Macaca fascicularis: one gene and its partner. The protein of the gene in region 1 purifies or fractionates together with the protein of each later gene. This does not show direct contact. Links are inferred from orthologs where the notes say so. Each region holds a gene or a part of one and is shown in the gene's direction. Other genes may lie near its edges. The genes, in order: ESYT1 and SYNJ2BP.

Region 1 (3,817 bases):
AGGTATGTGTGGAGGAGGAAAAGTGAGGCGGTGGGATAGGGAGGGTGAATGACCCAGAGTAGACTGAGGTACTTCTCCCTTTCCCTCCCCTGTCTCAGGACTTTCTCTCTCCCTAGCCATTGCGCATCATTGGAGTCAAGGTTCACCCAGGTCAGAGAAAAGAGCAGATCCTGCTGGACTTGAACATCAGGTAATACCACTCACCACTCTTACTGCTTCCCCTTCAATGTGTCCTGGTCAGTCCAGGCTACTTCACTCCCCTTCCCCGCAACTTCAGCCAAGGACTAACCCTCTTGGTTCTCTTCTTTACCAATCCCCAGCTATGTAGGTGATGTGCAGATTGATGTAGAAGTGAAGAAATACTTCTGCAAAGCAGGAGTCAAGGGCATGCAGGTAGGCCATATGTCAGGGGGCCCACATAATAGGGAATGTTTGTCCTACGTTTCATGGGATATGGGGAACTGTGAGGTTGGAAAGACCAAGGCTGAGAAAGTCTGGGAGGACAGAAGAGGGACTTTTCTGGGGAAAGGCTTTGATTTTCTCTTCTTGCCTCAGCTACATGGTGTCTTGCGGGTGATTCTGGAGCCACTCATTGGGGACCTTCCCATTGTGGGGGCTGTGTCAATGTTCTTCATCCGACGCCCGGTAAGGGAAAACAATGAAGGGGTATGGGGAAGCAGGGGAAGCAGAGAGGACTGGGAGGATGAGGGCAGCCAGCGATGCGGAATGAGAAGGGAATTGACAAGAAGGCCGAGGGGTCTGGCAACTGTTGGATGGGTATGACCACACCCCATAGGATCTGTCCTGACCCCTGCTCTTTCCCTGCAGACCCTAGACATCAACTGGACAGGGATGACCAACCTGCTGGATATCCCAGGACTTAGGTATCAAGGACTTACTGAGCATCTGCTGAGTGTTCCAGCGCTGGGTTGGGGGTTTAAGGGACACAGAGCAGTCAAAGATGCTGCTTGTGTCCTCTAGGAGCCTCAACTTCAGTTGGGGAGCGAAGACAAATACCCCTGGAAAGTTTGATACTGTGATTTTTCTTCGGGTTGAGGGAGCAGGTAGGGAATGAAGAGGGCTGAAGACTGCAAAAGGCAATGGGGATGGCAGTGAAGAAGGGAGAGAGCAGTAGGTGGGGAATTAGGGTAGAAGAGTAGCACAAAGGATTTTTACAAAAGGACTTTCTTACAGCTTTAGGTGTGGGAAACATAGTTGGGGTTAGGAGAAAATTGAAGTTGAGGCCATACCCATTGCTTTCTACTCCCCCATTCAGCTCACTCTCTGACACCATGATCATGGACTCCATCGCTGCCTTCCTCGTGTTGCCCAATCGATTACTGGTGCCCCTTGTGCCTGACCTTCAAGATGTGGCTCAGTTGCGTTCCCCTCTGCCCAGGGTATGGCCTTTTCCCCACTAGATAGATCCTTCTCTCAGGAACCCCTTGCTGGGTCCTTAGTTTCTCACCATCTGATTCCTTCCTCCAGGGCATTATTCGAATTCACCTGCTGGCTGCTCGAGGGCTGAGTTCCAAGGACAAATATGTGAAGGGCCTGATTGAGGGCAAGTCAGACCCGTACGCACTTGTGCGTTTGGGCACCCAGACGTTCTGCAGTCGTGTCATTGATGAAGAACTCAACCCACAGTGGGGAGAGACTTATGAGGTGGGAGAGTTGAGCAGCTGTGTGAAATGGGGAAGCCCCAGGAGGCCGTGAGAGAAGATGCTGATGAGATGATCTTCACAGCTGCAGCCCCATGAGACACTCAGCCTTCTGTGTTCCCCAGGTGATGGTACACGAGGTCCCAGGGCAGGAGATTGAAGTGGAGGTGTTCGACAAGGATCCAGATAAAGATGACTTTCTGGGCAGGTGAGACTCCGCCTGTTAGGATTCTAAAGCCCATGCTGGCCGGGTGCGGTGGCTCACGCCTGTAATCCCAGCACTTTTGTTGACCAAGGCTTGCAGATCATGAGGTCAGGAGATCAAGACCATCCTGGCTAACACCGTGAAACCCCATTTCTACTAAATATACAAAAATTAGCCGGGCGTGGTGGCAGGCGCCTGTAGTCCCAGCTACTTGGGAGGCTGAGGCAGGAGAATGGCAGGTGAACCCAGGAGGCAGAGCTTGCAGTGAGCCAAGATCGTGCCACTGCACTCCAGCCTGAGCGACAGAGCGAGACTCCGTCTCTAAAGAAAAAATAATAATAAAAAAAAATAATAATAAAGCCCATGCTACCGAGGTTCTGGAGGTAATTATACTCACCTTCTGGGCCTGGGAATAATGTATCATTTTCCTTCCTAACCTCCCCACCCCTAACCCCTACCATGCACACATTCACGCATGCAGGTGAATATCTCCTGAGAGGAATAAGGGAGTCTGAGATCTGCCAGTCATTTCTCGGTGGGTGAGTGGAGGGCCACTGACCTGCTGCTAATTACAACACTCCCCTTTTCTTCCTTTCACTACCCTCTCCCCTCCCCATCCCAGAATGAAGCTGGATGTAGGGAAGGTGTTACAGGCTGGTGTTCTGGATGATGTAAGTTGGGAGAAGAGGAAGGTGGGGGCTGATCTCACCCCTTGGGCAGACGGTAGTTGCTACATTGGTAGGGAAGTAGTTAAGCAGATATCTGATCTCTACCACATCTCAATTTCTTCTAGTGGTTCCCTCTACAAGGTGGGCAAGGCCAAGTTCACTTGAGGCTAGAATGGCTGTCGCTTTTGTCAGATGCAGAGAAACTGGAGCAGGTACACCACATGGGAAACAGGAAGCTGGCAGGGGAGAAGTAGGTAGCTGGAAATGTAGGGGACTTGGAACGGGGACCAAGATCTGACTACTACTTCCCCTCCCCAGGTTCTACAGTGGAATCGGGGAGTCTCCTCTCGACCAGAGCCCCCATCAGCTGCCATCTTAGTTGTCTACCTGGATCGGGCCCAGGATCTTCCTGTGAGTTTGGCTGGGTGAACAGGAGCCCTGGATGTAGCATTCCCCAACCCTGCCTTGCTGAGGATGCAGTTGTCACTGCCTGCTTTGCTCCAGAAGTATCAGCATGTAACACAAGGGTCCCAGGGAGGGGATCAGATCCATCTCAGGGAAAGGATTTTGATGCGATCCCACCTTCCTTCACCAAAACCAAAACCAAATCCCCCAAGATGGTGACCTCTGAATTGTACCCACCACAGCTGAAGAAGGGGAACAAGGAACCCAACCCCATGGTACAACTGTCAATTCAGGATGTGACTCAGGAGAGCAAGGTGAGGGCCGGGACATCATTGTCGGGGGCCAGGTGGGACAGGGAGGGGCCTGTTCTTGGAATGGTTTCCCCTTAGAATGCCTGTTATGTGCAGAGGTTTTCTGGAGAAACAGGAGTGGTGCTGTGGTGTACACCCTTAATCCCTCCTCCACATCTCCAGGCTGTCTACAGTACCAACTGCCCAGTGTGGGAGGAAGCATTCCGGTTCTTCCTACAAGACCCTCAAAGCCAGGAGCTCGATGTGCAAGTGAGATAATCACCTCTTTATCCCCTCTTGAATACCCTATTGTGTCTATCCAGATTAGTAACATTTCTCCTCTCCTTCTTTTCCCTTCATTCCGATTTTTAATCCATCTACCTAGACTCCCCACCTCCCTGAATATCTCTCCACTGTTCCCCAACTGTTGCTCCAGAATACTTTTTTTTTTTTTTTTGAGATGCTGTCTCGCTCTGTTGCCCAGGCTGGAGTGCGATGGTGCGATCTCAGCTGACTGCAACCTCCGCCTGCCAGGTTCAAGCAATTCTCCTGCCTCAGCCTCCTGAGTAGCTGGGATTACAGGCACGC
Region 2 (3,817 bases), on another chromosome or scaffold:
TAGTTGTTGGTCCATGGAAATAGCACTTTGATACTCAGTTTTCTTTCCTTCTCTTTTTTCTTTTTTAAAATATTTTATTTTACTGTGGTAGGAACACTTAACGTGAGATCTACTCTGAACAGATTTTTCAGTGTACAATATAGTATTATCTATAGGCCAGTGTTGTACAGCAGATCTCTAGAACTTGATTCATCTTGCATAACTAAAATTATATGTGTTTAAAATAGTCAAACTCATAAAAACAAATATTAGAATGGTGGTTTCCAAGGACTTAGGGAAGAAGAACTGGGGAGTTGCTAATCAATGAGTAGTCAGTTTTTTCTACAGTGAATAAAACTTGTCAATTACTATACCCAAATATAGATTGAGTAGCCCAAATCCAAAAATCTGAAGTCTGAAATGCTTCCAACTCCAAAACTTTTTTTTTTTTTTGAGATGGAGTCTTGCTCTATCACCCATGCTGGAGTGCAGTGGCGCGATCTCGGCTCACTGCACCAACTCCAAAACTTTCTAAGGGCCAACATGATGTTCAAAGGAAATGCTCATTGAAGCATTTCAGATTTCAGATTTTTGGATTAGGGATGTTCACCTGGTAAGTTTAATTCAAATGTTCCAAAATCCCCCAGATTCAAAATTCAAAACACATTTGGTCCTAAGCATTTTGGATAAGGGATACTCAACCTATATATAGTTGTACTTGAAGTAGCAAAGGAAGGGAAGGTAAATTTGGTGATTTAGTCCTACCATGAAACAGCAGTTACCTTTCTGATTCTGAGGTTTCTCTGCCAATACCTACACCACTGCCTCCACCAACCAAAATAGAAAGAAAAAAAAAAATGAAACTCTCAAGAGATTTTTCCAAAGCACTATCATACATAAATTCTCCAGAAGCTTGGGAGAAGGAAAGTGTGGAAGGGAAGGTATGGTTAGGAATCTCTCACACTAAATTAGGAACAGTTCATTTGATAATTGGTAAAAATGCATAGCTTCTTCTCATGAACACAACTAACCCTGCTGTGGTAATATCAGGAATGTCAGGAATTGGGTCCTTTGAATACCATCAACAGGATCAAAATTAAATGTGAGTAGAAGAATTTACATGTAGGCTGGGCATGGTGGCTCACACCTGTAATCCTAGAACTTTGGGAGGCCAAGGCAGTAGTGATTGCTTGAGGCCAGGAGTTCATAACCAGCCTGGGAAACTGAGTTATGAACTCCTGAGTAGCTGGGATTACAGGCGCCCGCCACTATGCCCCCTAGCAAGACTGTCTCAAAAAAAAAAAAAGAAAAAGAAAAAAAAGAAAGAACTTAGAGTAATCACCATTACTCTTTAAGTTCTATATATATCTTTCTTTATATATTCAACAAAACAGGTGAATCACTGTGTTTATATTTTCAGTTGTGCCTCATTTGAGTGAGCAACTCAATACTCTTGATACTGCTGACCTTGTTCATGACCATTCACCAGCTCCATCACAGCCTGACTCGCCAGCGTCTCCTCTCCATCAGCCTTTCCTGCCCAGTAGGCTTTTCCTCCCTTTCTCTTCATCTTCTCTAATCCCTTTCTTTCTTCTTCACCCCCATCTTTTTACTCCTCCATGATTTTCTCAGGGCTGGGCTTCAACATCGTCGGTGGGACAGATCAGCAGTATGTCTCCAACGACAGTGGCATCTACGTCAGCCGCATCAAAGAAAATGGGGCTGCGGCCCTGGATGGGCGGCTCCAGGAGGGTGATAAGATACTTTCGGTGAGAATGGGCTTCGGCCTCCTTCACTGTCCTTTGCTCCCTAAGCCCTAGGTCCTACCCCTATCCCTTTCCTTGGAAAGATTTGGGTCTGGAAATATACAGATTATAGAGCTGAATGGGAACAACTCTGATCAGTCATTCTTTCCAACCCTATCATTGAGCATGGAGGGCAATATTATGCTCACCTGATAAATGAGAATGTGAAGCCCAGAATGTGAAGTTACTTGTTCAAAAAGCACGAGGCAGGAAGCAGCGAGGGACTCATACGGGGAAAAGAGATATAAAATCCACAAATTTTGTCTTTCATCCGTCATTGCCTCCTTTTGTTGATTAAAACACTAATGTGTATCTTCCTTTGGGGGAATGTCAGCCCTTATAATTGGATTTAACTTCAAAAAACAGAAAGAAGGAAGGTTGGAATTAAGTGTCCTTTTCAGACTCAGAGCCCTTTTTCACCCATTATTAACATGAAAATTTGGAATGCAGTTGATTTGGGTATCTGTCCACTGTGTTCCCATTTCATCCTGCTAATGTCTCTACCAAGACTTACTACATGGAAATTATTAATCTTATTCTTTTCTAGAATTTCCTCAAGGGGAGTGACAAGATCCTTTTTTTTTTTTTTTTTTTTTTTTGAGATGGAGTCTCGCTCTGTCACCCAGGCTGGAGTGCAGTGTCATGATCTTGGCTCACTGCAACCTTTGCCTCCCGGGTTCAAGTGATTCTCCTGCCTCAGCCTCCTGAGTAGCTGGGACTACAGGTGCCTGCCACTATGCCCAGTTAATTTTTTGTATTTTTAATAGAGATGGGGTTTCACCATGTTGGCCAGGCTGGTCTCGAACTCCTGACCTCATGATTCGCCCTCCTCGGCCTCCCAAAGTGCTGGGATTAGAGGCGTGAGCCACCGGGCCTGGCCTAAGATCTTTTTTTTAACATGTTGAATCATAGCGCAATGTTTAATAATGTTTAAGAAATGAACAAGTTAAGAAATTCAGGCAAACCTAAAAAGACTAGCTGATAAATACGGGCCCACAGACCTCAGGTCTTAAAATAAATTAGAACAAGCCTACAGTAAAAACTATTAAAATGCAAAATATAACTCTGGCCCTATTGTTCATTTCTCCACATTACCATAGGTCACAGTAATCCTATGATACTATCAGTTGCTGGGGGATAAGGAGGTGTAGATTGGAGATAATTATTCTGTAGAATTTCTTTTTTTATTAACTTTCAGGACTAGTGAAAAATGGCCAACTTATTACTCGTATGGAAACAGTACAGATGGTTGGTATAAAGAATGGAAAAATGCTGAGGGTGTGAGATATTATCTAGAATATTCTTGGGAGAGCTGGCTTCAAAGGGCTAGACTTAAATAAAAGGAAATTGAAATAGGATAGGGCTTCTCATAGGAGAAGCTCCTAAGCAGAAGCTCCTGTCTTCTCCAGATGGGCCATAAGCCCACAGTCTGAAGAGGAGAAAACTATTCCCTGTTTTCTTTTAGAACTGAATAGGGCAGGATGGCCAGGTTGGGAAAAGATTGAAATAAATGAATGAAGTATAGACAGGAGAAGTCTTGATTGACAGAATTAAGTATTAGTCTCAGAGACATGATTTTGAACCTACCTCTATAATAAGTTAGCTTCATCCCTTAAATTTTTTTTGCTATATAGTTTCATTTGAATTTCACTTCACTTTTCATGCAGTTCAGGTGATTAGTGATTACAGGTCATACGTGTGAAATCTCTTGCTCTTCTTAGTTGCCAGCTTACTGAACACTTCTCTGCCACGCAGCCCATTTGGTAGTAGTACCTGAAGGCAGAGATACAAAGGAAAAGAGAAAGAACATCCATCTTCTCTTCATTTGGCATCTGAGTATTTGAGTGATCAGGCTCAGCAGTATGGATCTGAATGCCTCTTCAGGAAGACCGTGACTCCACTTAGTCCCCAAAAAAGAAAGAAAATCAGAACAAGTAGCTATTAGAGCCACCTAAATTAGCTCAAGAATGTCTAAGCATGTGCCCTCGCTGATCTATAATATAAATATAGTATCAAGCACCACAGTATTTCAG

What was found.
Region 2: the proteins of ESYT1 (region 1) and SYNJ2BP purify together in Homo sapiens (affinity purification with mass spectrometry; 4 studies listed by BioGRID and IntAct, with this or other methods). This does not show direct contact. The link is inferred for Macaca fascicularis from reciprocal best matches to the Homo sapiens genes ESYT1 and SYNJ2BP.

Annotation. Positions count from the first base shown.
Region 1 is NC_088385.1:62,917,067-62,920,883, forward strand, and holds part of ESYT1 (extended synaptotagmin-1), read left to right. Parts: coding exon 1-2; intron 3-116; coding exon 117-190; intron 191-320; coding exon 321-393; intron 394-555; coding exon 556-645; intron 646-828; coding exon 829-884; intron 885-1,276; coding exon 1,277-1,400; intron 1,401-1,488; coding exon 1,489-1,665; intron 1,666-1,786; coding exon 1,787-1,869; intron 1,870-2,488; coding exon 2,489-2,537; intron 2,538-2,659; coding exon 2,660-2,746; intron 2,747-2,852; coding exon 2,853-2,945; intron 2,946-3,151; coding exon 3,152-3,253; intron 3,254-3,412; coding exon 3,413-3,499; intron 3,500-3,817. UniProt on the Homo sapiens protein: Binds calcium (via the C2 domains) and translocates to sites of contact between the endoplasmic reticulum and the cell membrane in response to increased cytosolic calcium levels.
Region 2 is NC_088381.1:138,275,605-138,279,421, reverse strand, and holds part of SYNJ2BP (synaptojanin-2-binding protein), read left to right. Parts: intron 1-1,611; coding exon 1,612-1,748; intron 1,749-3,817. UniProt on the Homo sapiens protein: Regulates endocytosis of activin type 2 receptor kinases through the Ral/RALBP1-dependent pathway and may be involved in suppression of activin-induced signal transduction.